2 linked regions of the Callithrix jacchus genome follow. The protein of the gene in region 2 purifies or fractionates together with the protein of the main gene of each other region. This does not show direct contact. Links are inferred from orthologs where the notes say so. Each region holds a gene or a part of one and is shown on either strand. Other genes may lie near its edges.

What was found. The genes of interacting proteins can lie anywhere in the genome.
Region 1: the proteins of WWP2 (region 2) and POLR2D purify together in Homo sapiens (affinity purification with mass spectrometry; 3 studies listed by BioGRID and IntAct, with this or other methods). This does not show direct contact. The link is inferred for Callithrix jacchus from reciprocal best matches to the Homo sapiens genes WWP2 and POLR2D.

What each region holds. Positions count from the first base shown.
Region 1 is NC_133507.1:36,566,914-36,577,335, reverse strand, and holds the end of POLR2D (DNA-directed RNA polymerase II subunit RPB4), read right to left. Parts: intron 9,485-10,422; coding exon 9,304-9,484; intron 7,381-9,303; coding exon 7,285-7,380; intron 4,893-7,284; coding exon 4,814-4,892; 3' UTR 4,045-4,813; downstream 1-4,044. UniProt on the Homo sapiens protein: Core component of RNA polymerase II (Pol II), a DNA-dependent RNA polymerase which synthesizes mRNA precursors and many functional non-coding RNAs using the four ribonucleoside triphosphates as substrates.
Region 2 is NC_133521.1:27,340,808-27,351,661, reverse strand, and holds the start of WWP2 (NEDD4-like E3 ubiquitin-protein ligase WWP2), read right to left. Parts: upstream 6,553-10,854; 5' UTR 6,479-6,552; intron 6,338-6,478; exon of another isoform or gene 6,185-6,337; intron 1-6,184. UniProt on the Homo sapiens protein: E3 ubiquitin-protein ligase which accepts ubiquitin from an E2 ubiquitin-conjugating enzyme in the form of a thioester and then directly transfers the ubiquitin to targeted substrates.

The DNA.
Region 1 (10,422 bases), on a different chromosome or scaffold from region 2:
TGGCATATTTACCACTTTTTATATATAAACCTAAAACACTAACAGTATCACTGAAGCAGCTTATTGATGCTCAGGTCCCATCTAGTAATGCTATTTGTCATGCCTCAGGTCTAATAAATTTTATTAAAACCAGAATGACTAGATGCTATGGTCTGAATGTGCACCCTCCCACCCAATTCATACACTGAACCCTTCACTGATGTGACAGTATTAAGAGGTGGAGTCTTCAGCCGGTGATTAAGTCATGAGAGAACATCCCTCATGAAGGGGATCAATGCCCTTATTAAGAGGCTTCAGGGCCAGGTGCAGTGGCTCACACCTGTAACCCCAGCATTTTGAGAGGCTGAGGCGTGGCATGGCAGGGGTGGTGGTGGTGGTGAGGGGGGAATCACAAGGTCAAGAGATCAAGACCATCCTGGCCAACATGGTGAAACTTCGTCTCTACTAAAAATACAAAAATTAGTTGGATGTGGTGTCTGTAGTCCCAGCTACTTGGGAAGCTGAGGCAGAATTGCTTGAACCCGAGGTGGAGGTGGCAGTGAGCTGAGATCGTGCCACTGCACTCCAGCCTGGCAACAGAGCGAGACTCTGTCTCAAAAATGAATAAATAAACAAATAAACTTTAAAAAATAAAAATAAGAGGCTTCAGGCCTGGCACAATGACTCATGCCTGTAATCTCAGCATTTGGGATGCAGAAACAGGTGGACTGCTTCAGGTCAGGAATTCAAGGCCAGCCTGGGCAACATGGTGAAACCCCATCTCTACAAGACACAATTAGCTAGGCATGGTTGCTTGCGCCTGTGGTTCCAGCTATTCAAGAGGCTGAGGTGGGAGGATCACTTGAGCCTGGGAGGTTGAGGCAGTGAACTTTGATCATGATGCCTGGACGACAGAGCAAGACCCTGTATCCAAAAAATTAAAAATAAAAAAACAGCTGCCTGGCCCTTCCATCCTTCTACCATAAGGCCACTGTTCATTCCCTACAGAAGACGCAGAAAAAAGGTACCATCTCAGACCAGAGAGCTGCCCTTGCCAGACACTGAACCTACCAGCATCTGGATCTTGCATTTGCCAGCCTCCACAACTGTGAGAAATAAATTCCTATTATTTATAGGTACCCAGTATCTAAGGTATTCTGTTACAGCAGCAGGAACAAACTAAGACCCTAAAACTTTCAAATTCATTTAGCTTTCTGGTGAAGTGAGGGTTTGACAACCCATCTTTTTGTTGTTTCATTATGTTCCCAAATTCTTTCCTGATTTTGCAAACATAATACAATGAGCCTAACAATGTTTCACAGATTGTGCAAGGTCTCCTGGTGGCTATTTTCAACAGCAATATGCTATTCAGCCCCGTAGAAAACAATTTTTGACTGTCTAACAGAATTGCTGACCAGGCTTTTAATCTGTAACAGCATGAGGTTGCTTTAGCCAAGTAATTCCCTAGCATGAGTCATTTTAAATCTGCTTTTAAACACCTTGATAACTACCACTGATTAGTGCCTAACTATGTGCTGGGGCATTACATACTTCTCGGGTGGCTCACAGAACCCCTGGCACATACGTGGAAATGCCAGTAAAGATGGTACTGTGCTCCTCAGTTGCCATCTAGCACATGCCTGGATCGTGACTCTGGGCTGCCTTCCAAGTCTCTTTCCATTCCACATTAGTGCCAATCAGCACATGTAAGTGCCTCAGGATCCAACTCTGCAGTACTCACTTCAGCAGTAGGCACACCCAAACTGGAACAATACGGAGAAGACAGCATGGCCACTGCCCAAGAATGACATGCAAATGTATCAAGCATTAAAAAATAAAAGTTAACTCTGCAGGTTCAAGGAGTAAGCAATTTCATTTATTTTCAACTGATACTATCAGTTGGTATGCTACCAAATTCTTGCACTGATTTCTATGAAGCAAGCTGACTTAGCTATCTGTCTATACTAGCTCATCTGCCTGAGATACTAAGAATAGTGAACATTTACTGGAACATACTGTAAGTCAGACACCTCTAGGCTCTTCATAATTTCCTCTTCATTCAACCTTCTCAAAATATCCATGGGGAGATACTATTATTATCCACATTTCTTAACTGAGAACACCAATGAGGCTCAAAGAAGTGAAGTTGCTTAAGGATAAAAAGATTATTTCCAGCCGTGCTCGGTGGCTCACGCCTGTAATCCCAGCACTTTGGGAGGCTGAGGTCGGTGGATCACGAGGTCAAGAGAGTGAGACCATCCTGGTCAACATGGTGAAACCCCGTCTCTACTAAAAATACAAAAAATTAGCTGGGCATGGTGGTGTGTGCCTGTAATCCCAGCTATTCCGGAGGCTGAGGCAGGAGAATTGCCTGAACCCAGCAGGCAGAGGTTGTGGTGAGTCAAGATCGCGCCATTGCACTCCAGCCTGGGTAACAAGAGCGAACTCCGCCACAAAAAAAAAAAAAAAAAAAATTATTTCCTTCAAACATTGATCAAGAATATTAATTATTTAGAAATGTCAGCTAGGCGCAGTGACTCATGCCTATAATCCCAGCACTTTGGGAAGCCGAGGTGGGTAGATCACCTGAGGTCAGGAGTTCGAGACGAACCCGGTCAACATGGCGAAACCCTGTCTCTCCTATAAATGCAAAAAATTAGTCATGTGTGGTCGCGGGCACCTATAATCCCAGCTACTTGGGGAGGCTGAGGCAGAGAACTGCTTGAACCTGGGAGGCAGAGGCTGCAGTGAGCCAAGATTGTGCCATCGTACTCCAGCCTGGGCAACAGACCCAGATTCTGTCTCAAAAGAGAAAAAAAGGAAAGAAATCAGTTTTCAGAAACTGTATTTATAAAAATGTTTTTATTTTTGCCTTATCTAGTAGCAAACATAAAACTATGCTGACTATAAAAGCCAACACTATTCTTTCTCCTTTTTCCTTGGACCCCAAGTTCATATACAGTCAAGCAAATGCCCCAAAGAAAAATCCCAGAATTCAAGAGGTGTCTTTCCTTCAGAAAAATCAAAGCTAGAATGTTTAGCTATTAAAGTGTTTCCCCCCAGACTGAGATCAAGTGACTTCATTGCAGTGGCTCAAGAGTAGCTGACTCCCTCCTTCCAAATCAGCCCATCATAGAACACCTATTGCTAAGTAGCAAGCCAGAGGCTTAGATTGGAGACTTCAAAGTCTTCAGAACTTCAAGCCTGGCCTATGAAGCAAAAATTTTTTTAAGTACAACTGCAATTTTATTTTTCTCCAAAGAATAGTTTTTCTTCAGTCCTTCAGAACTCCGCTCCTTACATGGGCTTTGGTGGGGGTCAGGGGCAGCACCTGCAGGTCTACATTGGTGGAGGTGTTTGGTCCTTGCGGGTTTCATGAGCTTGATTCCTGACTACCGGGCTATGAATGGCACAACTCACACAGTTGTGTAATCTCACATTCAGCCTATGAAGTACACAGGCGTCAAGGACGCCCGCTTCAGAAACATTGCTAATTGCTGCAGCCTCTACATGTCAAATGATATATTTCTTAAAAGCCTTGTCATTGGGCACACAATGGGCATAGTTCATGCAGCAAATAGGTTGGAGTGCACAGCGTACACCTGGCTGCAGCCCTCTTTGGCATGACCACTGTTTCTTCTTTTCTTTGTTATGTTTGAGGTACAGGCCCAAGAAAGATGAAGTAGAATCTTAATTTGAGGGTGACTAAATGAGTCCTTCAAGACCACTTGCCCCAAATCCACATTCTGCAAGACAGTTCAAGAAAAAAGGCAAAGTAGCCATCTCGCTCAAGGCTATGGGCTCCACAATACTTAGCACAGTTGTCCCCAAGTGTAAACACTTCCCATGGCATGCTTCTTCCCTGTCCCCTAGGTTAGGCACAATAATACCAGGGCATTCTGTCATGAACACTCTCATCTTTTAAGGTGGTGCACACCTGTGGCCCCAGCTATTTGGGAGGCTGAGGCAGGGGGTCAAGGCTGCAGTGAGCTGCGACTATACCACTGCACTCCTCTAGCCTGGGCAAGAGTTAAGACCCTAATTCCATTAAGACAAAAACAGGCATTTCAAACAATAACAGCGGTTTAATTATTCCTTTTGCATCTATGTAAAACAGGTCTTTCTCTATAAAGTCTACTATGCTCTGGTCTAGTTTCAAAAAGTATAAACATACTGAAATTAAAACGTGAAATATTGGCCGGGCGGTGGCTCAAGCCTGTAATCCCAGCACTTTGGGAGGCCAAGGCAGGCGGATCACAAGGTCAAGAGATCGAGACCATCCTGGCCAACATGGTGAAACCCCATCTTACTAAAAATACAAAAATTAGCTGGGTGTGGTGGCATGCACCTGTAGTCCCAGCTACTCGGGAGGCTGAGGCAAGAGAATTGCTTGAACCTGGAGGTGGAGGTTGCAGTGAGCCGAGATTGTGCCACTGCATTCCACCCTGGCACCCGGCGACAGAGTAAGACTCCGTCTCAAAAAAAAAAAAAAAAAAGGGAAATATTAAGAAAAGATGACGTGGAGGCCAAAAACCATGAATGAGGTAGTCAATAGTGTGGCTTATGTGACACACCCACCTCACACTTCCCAGAGGCACATTCAGGAAAGCCACTAGCAGCCACTGCACAAGGCTGCTCCAAGATTACCTGTCACCTGGACCTATGAGTTATTTGAAACAGCAACCTAACCCAATGCCAAGCTGGGCTATTTTCTCCAAAGGAATTCTCAACTGTCTTCTGCAGTAGAATTTCTGTGCAAGTCAGCCCCAGCCCCTGGGAAGGTGGTGGTACGCCTGGGGACATGGTTTCTCTGAGAAGCAGTGACATCTGGAGATTAATACTGAAAGCTGCGCTTCGTCTGGATATCGTCAAGAATCTGCTGCAGCTCCTCATCTTCAAACCGCCCCTCCAAGCTACAACAAGAAAACCGAAAGAATGAGTGACTTGGCAACTGGCAATTTCCTCACACTCTTCTTTGAGGCGTGATAATCTGCCTATATCTCTAACACCTTTACCTTTCATCTGTATTTCTTTTCCACTTTTCCTGAAAAAACATTACAAAATATTTCCAACATGTAAAAGATAAAAGCTATAAAAAATAAACCTTTACAGTTAGCCCCACTTGACTTAGAGTGTTTTTTTTTTGAGATGGAGTCTCGCTCTGTCACTCAAGCTGTAGTGCAATGGCGTGATCTCTGCTCACTGCAACCTCTGCCTCCCAGGTTCAGGCAATTCTTAAGAGTTATTTTATTTATTTATTTTTAAATTTTTATTTATTTTTTGAGAGGGAGTTTCACTCGTCCCCCAGCCTGGAATGCAGTGGCGTGATCTTGGCTCACCGAAACCTCCCCTTCTGGGTTCAAGTGATTTTCCTACCTCAGCCTATTGAGTAGCTGGGATTACAGAAAACCGCCACCACGCCCAGCTAATTTTTATGATTTTAGTAGAGACAGGGTTTTACCCTGTTGGCCAGGCTGGTATGAAAGTCCTGACCTCAGGTGATCTGCTCGCCTCAGCCTCCCAAAGTGCTAAGATGGCAGGCGTGAGCCACCCCGCCTGGCCAGAGTTCTTTAACAAGCAGGAAAAGTCGTTGGCTATGTATACTACCCTAGACCTATACCTTCCCTTCTCCCCCAGGAATAACCACAATTTATCATTGCCTTACATTTAAATTTTTACTTGCCACATATATATTTATATTTACTACACATTTATGGATATATAATATGCAGTAGCTTCAAACTTTATAAGAAATGGCATTGGCTGGGTGCGGTAGCTCACGCCTATAATCCTAGCACTTTGGGAGGCCGAGGTGGGTAGATCACAAGGTCAAGAGATCGAGACCATCCTGGTCAACAAGGTAAAACCCCGTTTCTACTAAAAATACAAAAATTAGCTGGGCATGCTGGTGCATGCCTGTAGTCGCAGCTACTCGGGAGGCTGAGGCAGGAGAATTGCCTGAACCCAGGAGGCAGAGGTTGCGGTGAGCCGAGATTGTGCCATTGCACTCCAGTCTGGGTAACTACAGCAAAACTCCGTCTCAAAAAAAAAAAGAAAAGAAAAGAAATGGCACTATACTGTATTTATCCTTCTGCAATTTTTTTTCCTCAAAATTCATTCTGGCATGTGTTGATATTATTCCATGTTGTTCTAGTGCATTTTTTTCACTGCTGTACAATAAACACTGTTATGACTATACAATGATTCATTTATGCATTTTCTTATTGATCAAGAGATTATCAAATTTCTGCTATCATTAACAATGCAGCATAAGGCTGGGCGCCATGGCTTATGCCTGTAATCCCAGCACTTCGAGAGGCCAAAACAGGCAGATCACCTGAGACCAAGAGTTTGAGATCAGCCCGGCCAACATGGCAAAACCCCATGTCTACTTAAAAAAAATGCAGCAATGAACACTGGAATATACATATCCTTGTAAACTTGTGTGAGTTACCTTTAGGATATGTACCCAGGCAGCTTGGCCAAGATGGTGAAACCCCCATCTCTACTAAAAATGCAAAAACTAGACAGGTGTGGTGGCAGGCACCTGTAATCCCAGTTACTCAGGAGACTGAGGCAGGAGAATCACTGGAACCCCGGAGGTAGAGGTTAAAGTGAGCTGAGATTGCACCACTGCACTCCAGCCTGGGTGACAGAGTGAGACTCTGTCTAAAAAAAAAAAAAGATACATACCCAGGAATGGATTTTTGGAACATGGAGTACATTCGTCTTTACTAGACATAGCCAAATTGCTCTCCAAAATGGTTGTTCTAATTAATGCTCCTACCATCAGTATACGGAAGTCCAGCTGTTCCTCATTTTTACTATCACTTGGTATCACTCTCACTGTTAAAACGGCACTTTAATTCAATATTGGCAATTATGTATGCAAATATAAAATGCTTATGCATTTTATTATTTTTTTTAATTTTTATTTTTTGAGACGGAGTTTCGCTGTTGTTACCCAGACTGGAGTACAATAGCATAATCTCAGCTCACCGCAACCTCCACCTTCTGGGTTCAAGCAATTCTCCTGCCTCAGCCTCCTGAGTAGATGGGACTACAGGTGCGCACCACCATGCCCAGCTAATTTTTGTATTTTTAGTAGAGACGGGATTTCACCTCCTTGACCAGGATGGTCTTGATCTCTTGACCTCGTGATCCACCCACCTCAGCCTCCCAAAGTGCTGGGATTATAGGCGTGAGCCACCACGCCCGAGAAAATGCATAAACATTTTAGATACACCAATTATATTTGCAGAAATTTATCCAGTATACAGAGAACTGATTACAACTGGTACTAACCTTGGGATTAAAGCCTTGGACTCCTCAGCAGTCTCTGGGCAAAGGTTGGCCAAACAGGCCAACTCAAACTTATGAAGCTTTTTCTGGAGTAGCAAGCTGATCAACAGGGGAAAAAAAAAATACCGAAACAAATTAAAACCAAATAAACAACAAAAATCAAATAATAATCAACAGGAAAAAAGGGATCAAATGTAGCTAGCATTTAAAAATAGCTAGACGGCTGGGTGTAGTGGCTCACGCCTATAATTCCAGCACTTTGAGAAGCCAAGGTGGGCGGATCACTTGAATGAGGAGTTCGAGACCAGCCTGAGCACCATGGCAATACCCCATCTCTACTAAAAATACAAAAATTAGCCGGGTGTGGTGATATGTGTCTGTAGTCCCAGCTACTTGGGAGGCTGAGGCATGAGAATCGCTTGAACCTGTGAGGCGGAGGTTGCAGCGAGCCGAGATTGCACCACTGCACTCCAATCTGGGTGATGAAGTAAGATTCTGTCTCAAAAATGTAAAAAGGTAGAGGAGGCTGGGCATAGTGGCTTGTGCCTGTAATCCTAGCAGTTTGGGAGGCCAAGATGGGAGGATCACTTGAGCCCAGGAGTTCAAGACCAGCCTGGGCAACATGGTCTCTAAAATAAATAAATACATACATAAAATAAAAATAGCTACAGGAGAAGTCTTGAAATGTTCCTAATACATAATCAATACCCTAAACACCCTAACATACTCATTGTACATTCTAAGTAACAAAGTATCACATGTACCTCATACCTATGTACAAATACTATTATTTAAAAAAATGTAGGCTGGGCGTGGTGGCTCACCTCTAATCCCAGTGCTTTGTTTTTTGGGTTTTTTTTTTTTAAATGGAGTCTCACTCTGTCACCCAGTCTGGAGTGCAATAGAGCAATCTCAGCTCCCTGCTACCTCTGCCTCCTGGGTTCAAGCAATTCTCCTGTTTCAGTCTCCTGAGTACCTGGGACTACAGGCATGTGCTATCATGCCCAGCTAAGTGATGTTTGTATTTTTAGTAGAGATGAAGTTTCACCATGTTGGTCAGGCTGGCCTCAAACTCCTGACCTCAAGTGCTCTGCCCGTCTTGGTCTCCCAAAGTGCTGGAATTACAGGTATGAGCCACTACATCCAGTTAATCCCAGAACTTTGGGAGGCTAAGGTGGGAAGATCAACTGAGGCCAGGAGCTTGAGACCAGCCTGGGCAAAATAGTAAGTCTCCCCATCTCTACAAAAAAAATAACAACAAAAAAACTTTTACCTACTAATAGTACCATTTAGATCACACATACTGGACTTATGTGACAGATTCACATTTGAGTCTGCTTCCAGACTAGAAGGCAGTGGCACAATCACAGCTCACTGCAGCCTCAACCTCCCAGGCTCGGATGGTCCTCCACTTCAGCCTCCCAAGTAACTAGGACCACAGGTACTTGCCACCACACCTGTATAATTTTGGTATTTTTTTATAGAGAGGAGTTTTACCATGTTGCCCATGTTTGTCTCTAACTCCTGGCCTCAACTGACTGGCCCACCTCAGCCCCACAAAGTGTGAATTGCAGGTGTAAGCCACCACACCTGGCTGAAATTTTGGTCTTAAAAGCAATTTTTAGATTTTTAAGACTTTTTTTTTGAGAGTTGCCCATGCTGGAGTGCAGTGGTACAATCTCAGCTCACTGTAACCTTGGCCTGCAGGTTCAAGCGATTCTCCCGCCTCAGTTTCCTGAGTAGGTGGGATTAATGGTGTGTACCACCACACCTAGCTAATTTTTTGTATTTTTAGCAGAGGTTTTTGTGATGTTGGCCAGGCTGGTCTTGAACACCTGTCCTCAAGTGACCTGCTGCCTCAGCCTCCCAAAGTGCTGGGATTATAGGTGTGAGCTACCATGCCCAGCCCAACATTATTTTACTTAAATTCACAGGTGACACCTGGGAAAGGGCAAGGGGATAGCATTCTACATGCAGCTGTCTAATGGTATGAATTAATAAAAATTTCCTTTAAGCACTCACCTACGAACACTGGCAATGGTCTCTCTATTTTTGAAACGACTGAAACGGGCTGTGTAGTTTAATGTTTTCATGAAGACTTCTGAGAGTTCTTGTTCATCCTCTGCGCTCTCATTCTGCTGCTTTCGATGTTCCAGAAGCATATGAACTTCTGAATTTAGAAGTGTCTCAGCTGTTTCAAACTCTATTTGTGAGAAGCATAAATGGCAGCTGAAAATACTCCTTCGAAAGTTTGTTTCTAAATGTTCATTTTGCATTTGAACATTTCTCTGCCCTGCAGAAATCCAGTGGTTTCCCACTCCACATTTTTTTTTAAACTTTATTTTTTTTTGAGATAGAGTCTCACTTTGTCACCCGGGCTGGAGTGTAGTAGCCTGAGATTGGCTCATTGCAACCTCTGCCTCCCAGGTTCAAGCAATTCTCCTCTCTCAGCCTCCTGAGTAGTTGGGATTACAAGTGTGTGCCACCACGCTCAGCTAATTTTTTTTTTTAGTAGGACAGGGTTTCATCATGTTACTCAGGCTGGTCTCGAACCCCTGACATTGTGATCCACCCGCCTCAGCCTCGAAGTGCTGGGATTACAGGTGTGAGCCACTGCTCCCAGCTTTTATTTGATTTTAGGTTCAGGGTACAGGTACAGGTTTGTAATATAGGGGAAATGGGTGTTATGAGGGTTTGGTGTAGACTATTTCGTCATCCAAGTGATAAGCATAGTACTGATAGGTAATTTTTCAATCCATACCACCCATTCCCCCAACTAGGCCTCAGTGTCTGTTGTTCCCTTCTTTGTGTCCACATGTACTCAAAGTTTAACTCCCCCTTATAAAATAATGTGAGGTATTTGGTTTTTAGTTCCTGTGTTCATTTGCTTAAGTTAATGGCCTCCAGCTCCAACCATGTTGCTACAAGACAGGATTTTGTTCCTTTTAGCTTGTCTGAGCCAGTTTCTGACCAAAAACCTGACCTAGACATGCAATTAAATAATGACACAGACTAGTTACTTATTTCAAGAGTATACTGACAATTACTTCCCTCTAGCCTGTATCAGCTCATCATCTTCCTATTTCAATAAAGCTAATATTATACTCTCAATTTTAAGAATTGTTACATATTAAATAGGGC
Region 2 (10,854 bases):
TGAGGCTGCAGTGAGCCATAATTATGCCACTGTACTCCAGCCTGGGTGACAGTGAAACTCTCAAATACAAAAACAAAACAACAACAACAAATTCAGATTCCATGTCTCCTAATAAGATAAGTAAGCAACAAAGAGGAAGAGGTGGGGAGGAGCGGGGGAACATAAACAGCTGTTCTGAGAAATAACTAATCACAAACAACCCTCAGACACATCGGTCAACACACAGCCCCCTCCAGCGCGAGCCTATAAGTCTTCCCTCCATCTCCTGCCTCTTTGCAGACAGCCCCTTCTCTGCTGTGCTGCCCTTGCAACATGTTTTCATACTTTAATAAATCTGCCTGCTGGGCTCAGTGGTTCACACCTGTAATCCCAGCACTTTGGGAGGCTGAAGTGGTCAGATCATCTGAGGTCAGAAGTTCGAGACAAGCCTGATCAATATGGTGAAATCTTGTCTTTAAAAGAAAATTTAAATTTAATTAAAAAAATAAATCTGCCTTTCTTTACCTGGTAAACTCCTTTTCTGCCTGAGACACATAATAGTCCTAAGGGACTCTAAGTTGCTCAAAAGCAACTCACACTGATTAGATTCCAGTGGGAGTTTATGTTCATACAGCCACTCACTAATGATAAGTGGTAGAAGGACCAGATCTGGACTCTGAAGACCAAGATTCAAATGGCCAGCTCTTTCATTTCTTAGCTACCTGACCTCGTAAGGGTCACTTCACCTCAACAAGGTTAAACATCTAAAATGGGCCGGGCGTGGTGGCTCACGCCTGTTATCCCAGCACTTTGGGAGGCCGAGGCAGGTGGATCACGAGGTCAAGAGATTGAGACCATCCTGATCAACATGGTGAAACCCCGTCTCTACTAAAAATACAAAAAAATTAGCTGGGCATGGTGGCGCGTGCCTGTAATCCCAGCTACTCAGGAGGCTGAGGCAGGAGAATTGCCTGAACCCAGGAGGCGGAGGTTGCGGTGAGCCGAGATTGCGCCATTGCACTCCAGCCTGGGTAAACAAGAGCGAAACTCTGTCTCAAAAAAAAAAAATCTAAAATGGTGGGATGCCTGACAACCAACATGAATTCAATACATGTTTGGAAAAAACAATACATATTTTAAACATAAAAAGCCCATTACCCATCCATCCTAGAGGCCTCTATCCAGAAATTGGCACTTAAATTGATTTTAGAGGTGCTATAAAGATGCATAGTTGGAAGAAAAGCCTCCTTAAGAAAAAAGAAACTCATTAGCTTGTGGTTGTCAAAAAGATTTAAAAAAAAAAAAAAAAAACTATTCCAGCACTTTGGGAGGCCAAGAAAGGTGGATCACTTGAGGTTGGGAGTCTGAGACCAGCCTGGCCAATGTGTTGAAACCCCGTCTGCACTAAAAATACAAAAAGTAGTTGGAAGTGGTGGCAGATGCCTATAACCCCAGCTACTTGGGACGCTGAGGCAGGAGAGTCACTTGAACCTGAGAGCCAAAGGTTGCAGTGAGCCGAGATCATGTCACTGCACTCCAGGCTGGCCAACAGAACAAGACTCCAAAAATAAAATAAAATAGGATCCCTAGAAAAGCCTCTCTCTGAAGGTGACAGCTGAGTAAAGATCTGAGGAGGTAAGGAAAGGAAGGGGCCGTGTGGCTGAATGGGGGTGAAGGGGTCCTGGCAGAGTTCAAAAGCCCCAAAGAAGGAGTACCCCTGGCAGGTTTTGGGACCAGCCAGGAGGCCAGTGTGCCTGGAAGGGAGTGAGTGAGCAGGAGTGGAGAGAGGAGGTCAGAGTGGTAGTGGGTGTGGGAGGAGCGATCGGGTCACAGGAGGCCTTGCAGGCCATTGTACAGTATTGATTTTTCATTCAGGTTAAGCTGGGACAATTGGAGGGTTTGAGTTGAGCAGTGGACTGGACAGGATCCATCCTGCCTTTTAACAGACTCGCTCTGGGTCCAGTGTGGAGAAAGTGAAGATCAGCCAGAGTGGAAGCAGGGAGACAAGTTAGGAGGCTGCTGCCATCATCCAGAGGAAAGATGCATCTGGGGTGTACTCTGAAGTACAGTCAGTAGGCTTTGTGGACGAGTTGGGTTGGATGTGGCGTGTGAGAGGAAGAGAGGAGTCATGGGTGACGCCAAGGTCTTTGGCTTGAACAGCTGGAGGAATGGAGTTGTCATTAACTGAGATGGGGAAGGCTGCATGAGGAGCAGGGATGGGGCTCAATTTTGGTGATGTTGATTACAAAATGCCTGATAGGAATCAAGTTGAAGATATTGTGGCAATTAGATCTAGAAGTCTGGAGACAGGCTGAGGCTAGACAGACACATATGGAAGCTGTCAGCATGTGGATGGTATTTAGAGTTCAGAGACTTATCCAGGTGCAATGGTTCACGCCTGTAATCTCAGCACTTTGGGAGGCCAAGGCAGGATGGCTTGAGGCCAGGTGTTCAAGACCAGCCTGAGCAACAGTGAGACCCCCCCCGACCCCCATCTCTACAAAAGCAAGACAGAGTCTCACTTTGTCACCCAGGCTATAGCGGTGCAATCTCACTGCAACCTCTGCCTCCCGAATTCAAGCGATTCTCGTGTCCCAACCTCCCGAGTACCTCGAATTACAGGCATGTGCCACCAAACCCAGCTAAATTTTTGTATTTTAAGTAGAAATGGGGTTTCACCATGTTGGTCAGGCTGTTCTTGAATTCCTGACCTCAAGTGATCCACCCACCTCAGCCTCCAAAACTGCTGGGATTATACACATGAGCCATGGCACCTGGTCAGAATCCTATTTAAACTGCAACCCCATATCTCTCTTCCCTGCTTGCTTACAACAAAATATATATTCTACTTAGTTATCAATGTGCCCTTCTCTAATACAATTTAAGGTCCACAAGAGCGGAGAGCCTTGCCTTTCTCATACTGCCATATGCCCGGCATTCAGAACAGGTTTGTCCAACAGAAATAAGATAGGAGCCACAAGTGCAAGCCACATACATATATTTTTTTTTTTTTTTGAGACGGAGTTTCACTGTTGTTACCCAGACTGGACAGACTGGAGTGCAATGGCATGATCTCAGTTCACTGCAACCTCCGCCTCCTGGGTTCAAGCAATTCTCCTGCCTCAGCCTCCTGAGTAGCTGGGATTACAGGCACGCGCCACTGTGCCCAGCTAATTTTTGTATTTTTAGTAGAGACGGGGTTTCACCTTGTTGACCAGGATGGTCTCGATCTCTTGACCTGGTGATCCACCCGCTTCAGCCTCCCAAAGTGCTGGGATTTTAGGCGTGAACCACCACGCATGGCCTACATACATAATTTTTTATTTTTCTAGGAAACACATTTTAAAAAGAAAAAAGTGCTGGGTTTCAAGTCAAGGCTGTGGGGAAAAAAGGCAAAAAGGTGAAACATTTTCTCTTTTTCTTTTTTGAGACAGGGTCTTACTCTGTCACTGAGGCTGGAGAGCAGTGGCATGATCACAACTCACTGCAGCCTCCATCCACCCCCCTCCCCAGGCTTGGGTGATCCTCCCGCCTCAGCCTCCTGAGTAGCCTGCACCTGGCTAATAGTTGTATTTTTTTGTAGAGACAGGCTTCCGCCATGTTGCCGAGGCTAGTCCCAAATTCCTAGACTCAAGCAATCCATCCACTTTGGCTTCCCAAAGTGCTGGAATTATAGGCGTGAGCCACCATGCCTGACCAACTATTTATAATTACGATGTATTTAACCCAATAAATCTAAAATGTTATACATGTTTATACATTATACGATAATTTACTATAAAAGTATCAGCCGGGCACGGTAGCTCACGCCTGTAATCCCAGCACTTTGGGAGGCCAAGGTGGGCGGATCACCTGAGGTCAGGAGTTCGAGACCAGCCTGACCAACATGGTGAAACCATGCCTCTAAAAAAATAATAAATAAAATAGAAGTATCAATGAGACATTTTACTTTTTCTTCATGCTAAGTCTTTAAAATCCAGAATGTATTTTATGCTCCCAGCATAGCTCCAGTGCTCAACAGCCCCATGTGGCTAGTGTTTACCACACTGGACTCTACAGCAAAGCCTGGCATAGACAGAGTAGGTACTTATATTCACTGGATGAAAGAAGGTTTTCACAGGAAGAGGCAGCTATGGTAGAGCACAGGGTTTTCTAAACTTCATTTACTCACATCCTACATTCACATTTTCTATGTGATCTATACTACTTTTTCTTAAAACATCACACTTTTTACACTTGAAAAATTATGCAAAAATAAAACTTTCATCTGGGCACGGTGGCTTACACCTGTAATCACAATACTTTAAGAGGCGGAGGTGGGCAGATCGCTTGAGCCCAGGAGTTTGAGAACAGCCTGGGCAATATGGCAAAACCCCTCTCTCTACAAAAAATACAAAAATTAGCCGGGTGAGGTGGCACCCACCGGTAGTCCCAGCTATTTGGAAGACTGATGTGGGAGGATCATCCGAGCTCAGGTAGGTCAAGGTTACAGTGAGCCGTGATCGTGCCACTGCACTCCAGCCTGGGCAAGAGTGAAACCCTGTCTCAAAATAAAAATAAAATTTTCTATTGTGTCAATAAATGAAAAAGAATTGTTCTAGGGACTAGAACGGCCTAGGCTTGAGTCCCTACTCATTTACTAGCTCTTCAGTCTACAGTAAGGACTTCATTAAGCCTCAGTTTCTTCATCTGAGGTATAGGGACAATACTGACCATCCAAATTTCACAGGGAAGGTTAAGTGAGATGTTCGTATATGTTCTTTGTATATGGGAAAGTAATCATGAAGTCAAAGGGACTAAGAAGCTAAACCAAGCCTTTCTCTCAAGCCGCTTTTCATATGGACCAATGACACACATAATCACAAATCTGTCTGACAAGACAAAGAGTAGAAGACTTGGGTTCAAACCCCTTGTCACCACTTACACCAGTGTGACCTTTAGAAATGCATTTATTCACCAAACATTTTTTATCAAGTGCCCATAACATGCAAGGCACTAGGCTGGTAGCCAAATAAAATATGAAACCTGCCGTTGAGGGATTTGCAGTCTAGCAGGAAGAAGAGACCAGCAAACAAGAAAGAACAATACATTGTTTTAAAAAATCAAGTCGTCAGGACAATCGCTTGAACCCGGGGGGTGGGGGGGGGAGGTTGCAGTGAGCCTGAGATCGCGCCACTGCACTCCAACATGGTGACAGTGAGACTCCGTCTCGAAAAAAAAAAAAAAAAATTAAGTCGTCTCTCTTAAGTCTGTTTGTTTCCTGTGAAATGAGAATAATACCTTCCCAACCTCACTCACAGGAGATGCTACAAAAACTAATTTTTAAATGTTTGTCAAATAACTCCAAAAACTTGAACCCATAATATATTAGCAAAGTACTTTTTCCTACTTGTAACCCAAAACGATGCTGGCTGTGTGAATGTCCAGCCTGAACATTCGTTCTAGTTACACTGTACTCACGAAACTCCTTCAGCTCCTGCAAATTTTAGTAAACATGAGAAACAGGAGCATGAACAGCATTAACACAAGTAATCTCAAAATCATGATCCAGGTCACAGTTCTAAGGACCATAACACAGACCTCTCAGTCACCCTGCCTAATTACTGTTCGTCAAGATAAGCAGTCACATGCTAAGTGAAACTGAATAATTTAAACGGAAGAAAGAGGAAAGTCATAAAGCAGTCTAGGTAGACACTCCTCTGTCCCAGATTTCAGCAGTCACTATGTTGCTGAGGTAACGCTGGGCTAGGTCAACAGCGTAGGCTAAAAGCCATTTTATGGGCAGAGCAAAGTGCCCACACTTCTTTAATTCTTTTGTTGTTGTTATTAAAACCTCGATGATGACCCGATCAATTAAATCTCAAAGAAAAATGATCCGAAGGGCTAGGTTTCCAAGAAGCGGAAACTCTACCCACGCAGGAGTAAGTGGGTGCGAAGAAAGCAAGACGACCAAGATTCTGTGATCCCTCCTGAAGTTTAAAAACTGAATGGGACCGTCATCAAAGTCTCGGGTAGCAATCATTTCCAAAAAGGAAGGAAGAGAGAGGCTCTCAGAGGGGGTCCAGGGAGCATCTTCTTCCTGATTTCTCCCTCTCGCTCCACGCCATAAACCCATTCTCAGGCATCCCTTCCAGCTCAGTCCCAAGTCGCCCTTCCCCTGGTCGCGATCCCTCCATAAACATCGCTCCTCCCCATGCCTGGGCACCTAGGCTCCTCTCCCCTTCAGGGAGGACTCGCTCCAGCTGCACACTTGGCTGCCTGGGCGCCCATCTCCGAGCGGCCCCCGCGCTACCCGCGTCGCGCCCACCCCGCTCGGGCGGGAGCCGGGACACCCCTCCTCGGAGGCCGGAACCGCCACGCCAGGCCCCTCCCACAGGAAGCCGCCGCCCCCCGGCGCCCGGGCCGCGCCGCCCCCGGCCCACTCCGCGCCGCCCGCCGCCCCCGGCCCGCCCCACGCCGCCAGCCCGCCAGCCGCGTCCCCCGCGCCGGCGCTAGTTACCTGCCGTGGCCACAGAAGCGGCACCCAACTCCTCTCCCACTTCCGCCTTCCACCGCCCGCACTCGGGCCGGGTCACGTGACCGCGCGCGGTCACCTGACCCGGAAGAGGTTGGCCGGGCTCGCAGGTGCGGGTAACCTAGGCCTAGCCTGGGAACCTCTGGCCTCCTAGAGGTCTTTTTATCGTTTGTGTATTTGAAAGTAGAAGGGCTTTCTGCTCGCCGGATAGTCCCAGAGCAATCAAATAAATTGAGGGCTCACTGAGTGCCATTTATTCTGCCCATCAGCCTTATGGAGGCAGGGACAGGTACTAGCCCCATTTTACAGGTGAAACGACACCGTCAGTCTATTAAGTCAGCAAATATTTATTGAGCTCTTTGGTAGGGTTCCAGATAAAGTAAAGGACACCCACTTAAATTTGAATTTCAGATAAACAGCAGTTTAATATGTGTGTTCCAAATACAGAATGGGACATACTTATACTAAAAAAGTATTTGTTGATTATCTGAAGATTAAATTTAATTGAGTATCTGCCTTTTTATTTGCTGGCAACCCTACACCTGTTATATTCCAGGCACTGTTCTAAGATCCAGGAACACAAACATCTCGCCCTTTGTGGGGCATCTGTCCTTGTGACATAAAGCAAAAGTACAAATGCTTCCCAACTCCTGCCTGGGTCCACAAAACGCCCCTCCACACTAATCCAGTCGCATTCCCTTAATCTACAGGGCACAAATTATGATCTAGACAGACATATAGATGATATATATTTTTTCTTTTTATTTTTCTTGAGACAGAGTCTTGTTCTGTCACCCAGGCTGGAGTGCAGTGGTGCCATCTTGGCTCACTGCAAACTCCGCCTCCCCGATTCATGCAATTCTCCTGCCTCAGCCTCCCAAGTACAGCCGTGTCGCACCACACCTGGCCGCTTTTTGCATTTTTAGTAGAGACAGGGTTTCCTTATGTTGGCCAGTCTGGTCTCGAACTCCTGACCTAAAGTTATCCACCCACCATGACCTCCCAAAGTACTGAGATTACAGGCATGAACCACTGTGCCTGGCAGAGTTTTTTTTTTTTTTGAGACGGAGTTTCGCTCTTGTTACCCAGGCTGGAGTGCAATGGCACGATCTTGGCTCATGGCAACCTCCGCCTCCTGGGTTCAGGCAATTCTCCTACCTCAGCCTCCTGAGTAGCTGGGATTACAGGCATGCACCACCATGCCCAGATAATTTTTTTTTGTATTTTTAGTAGAGACGCGGTTTCACCATGTTGACCAGGATGGTCTCGATCTCTTGACCTCGTGATCCACCTGCCTCGGCCTCCCAAAGTGCTGGGATTACAGGCTTGGGCCACCGTGCTCAGCAAAAAATATTTTTTTTAAGGTTGCTTCGGCTGGGCTTGAACTCCTAGCCTCAAGCAATCCTCTTGCTTCAGCTTCCCAAGTAGCTGAGACTACAGGCGAATGCTGCTGTGCCTGACCAAGAACATTTTATTTATTTATTTGAAACGGAGTTTCACTCTTGTAGCCCACGCTGGAGTGCAGTGGCTCAATCTTGGCTCACTGCAACCTCTGCCTCTCAAGTTCAAGCAATTCTCCTGCCTCAGCCTCCCAAGTAGCTAGGACTACAGGTGCCTGCCACCATGCCCAGCTAATTTTTGTATTTTTAGTAGAGATGGGATTTTCACCATGGTGGCTAGGCTGGTCTCAAACTCCTAACCTTGTGATCCACCCACCTCAGCCTCCCAAAGTGCTGGGATTACAGACGTGAGCCACCGCAACCGGTCTCCAAGAACATTTTAAATTGACAATCTTGACTGATGTTCTGGACAAGTTGAATGAAGTCTTGGCTTAATCCCATTGATTAAAATTAATACTAATCACCTAATTGCCTCAAAGACTTGTACTAATTATTCTGTTATTTTTGGGTCTTCGAATTTGGATGGATCCTATCATGCATACAAATTCAATTGGCTGGCCAGACGTGGAGGCTCACACCTGTAATCCCAGAACTTTGGAGGGCTGAGATCACTTGCCAGGGGCTTGAGATCAGCCTGGGCAATATGATGAAACTGCATCTCTACAAAAAAATACAAATATTAGCTGGACGTGTTGGCACACTCCTGCAGTCCCAGCTAATCCGGAGGCTGAGGCATGAGACTCACTTGAACCTGGGAGGCAGACGTTACAGTGAGCCAAGATTGCGCACTGCACTCCAGCCTCGATGACAGAGTGAGACTCTGTCTCAAAAAAGAAAAAAAAAAAAAAAAAAGAGTAAAAGCTAAAATGTTTACCATGACCTATAAGGCCCAGCTGATCCCTCTCGCACTTCCCCATTATTTCTCTCGCCTCCAGCTGCTCTACCCCTCAGTATCTCCTTCAGCCTCAGGGCCTTCGGAATTGCTTGTCCCTCTGCCTGGAAAGCTCTTTCTTCACGTAGTCAGATGGCTTGAACCCCCATCTCTTTCAGATGTTTTTTCAACTGTCTCTCTCAGTGAAGTTTTTCACACCCTATCTAAAATTACAACTCCACTTTGGGAGGCTGAGGCAGGAGGATTGCTTGAGCTCGGGAGTTGGAGACAAGCCTGTGCAACATAGCAAGACCCTATTTCTACTAAAAATACAAAAAATAAGTTAGCTAGCCATGGTGGTGCACACCTGTCTTCCCAGCTACTCAGGAGGCTGGGGTGGGAGGACCACCTGAGCCCTGGAGGTAGAGGTTGCAGTGAGCCCAGATCATGCCACTGCACTCCAGCTTGGGCCATAGAGCAAGACCCTGTTTCAAAAAAGAAAAACAAAGACATACACACACACACACACACACACACACACACACACTCACAGGCACACAGATATATATATACACGTGTGTTTCCCACTACAAGAAATTATGAAGACAGGAACTATATCCCAGCTCCTGAAGTAGTACCTGGTCCAGTTGAGGCCTCTTTAAATAATTTGCTCAATTAATAGATGTCATTAACATTTATTTAGCACCAAACTCAATGCTGTAGAGCTACAGTATAGGAGTTTTGTTTGTTTTTGTTTTGAGACCGAGTCTTATTCTGTTGCCCCGGCTGGAATACAATGGCGCATCTTGGCTCACTGCAACCTCCACCTCCCAGGTTCAAAGATTCTCCTGCCTCAGCCTCCTGAGTAGCAAGAACTACAGGCACGTACCACCAAGTCCAGCTAATTTTTTGTGTTTTTAGTGGAGATAGGGTTTCACCATATTAGCCAAGATGGTCTCGAACTCCTGACCTCGTGATCCCTCCCTTGTTTTTTGTTTTTTGAGGCCGTGTCTCACTCTGTCGCCTAAGCTGGAGTGCAGTGGCACAATCATGACCTCTGGGCTCAAGCATCCTTGGCCTCCTAGCTTAAGCAGTCCTCCCACCTCAGCCTCCAAGTAGGACACCACAGGTGCCCCTACTATGCTCAGCTAATTTTTTTTATAGAGGCCAGGTTTCCCCTGTTATTCAGGCTGGTCTCAAACTCCTGGGCTCAAGCAATCTTCTTGCCTGGGCCTCCCAAAATGCTGGAATTACAGGCATGAGTAACCATGCCTGGCCTAAATTTTTAAATTTTATTTTTATGGTATTTATTTATTGGAGACAGAGTCTCACTGTGCAGTAGTGGGATCATAGCTCACTGTAGCCTCGAACTTCTGGGCTTAAATGATCCTCTTGCCTCAGCCTCCCAAGCAGCTGGACCTACAGACACAAGCCACCATACTCAGCTAATTTCTTAAATTTTTTGCTGAGACAGGATCTTGCTATATTGCCCACACTGGTCTTTGTTGATAAAAAAGAATTGAACTTGGCCAGGCGCAGTGGCTCACACCTGTAATCCCAGAACTTTGGGAGGCTGAGGTGGGCAGATCACCTGAGATTGGGATCACCTGAGGTTGACCAACATGGAAAAACCCTGACTCTACTAAAAATACAAAACTAGCCAGGTGTGGTGGCGCGTGCCTGTAAGCCCAGTTATTCCGGAGGCTGAGGCAGGAGAATTGCTTGAACCTGGGAGGTGAGCCGAGATCACACCATTGCACTCCAGCCTGGGCAACAAGAGCAAAACTCTGTCTCAAAAACATAACGTAAAAAACATAAAAAAGAGTCAAACTCTGTAAAATATTTGAAGATATTTATTCTTTTTGTTGGTGTTTTTAGAGAGCAATCTTTTACTGAACAGTACTTATTCTTGTGGAGCAGGGCTAACTCATAGGAAGTGCACCTAAAAACAAAAAAGAAAAGAAAAAAAAAGGAAGTGCACCTAAGGTCAGCAGAGGTTTCTTCTGAGCCAAATAGGAGTGACCAATGGCCCATGACACAGCTCTCAGAAAATCCTGAAAAATTGACCACATTATTTCTTAATGATTTTT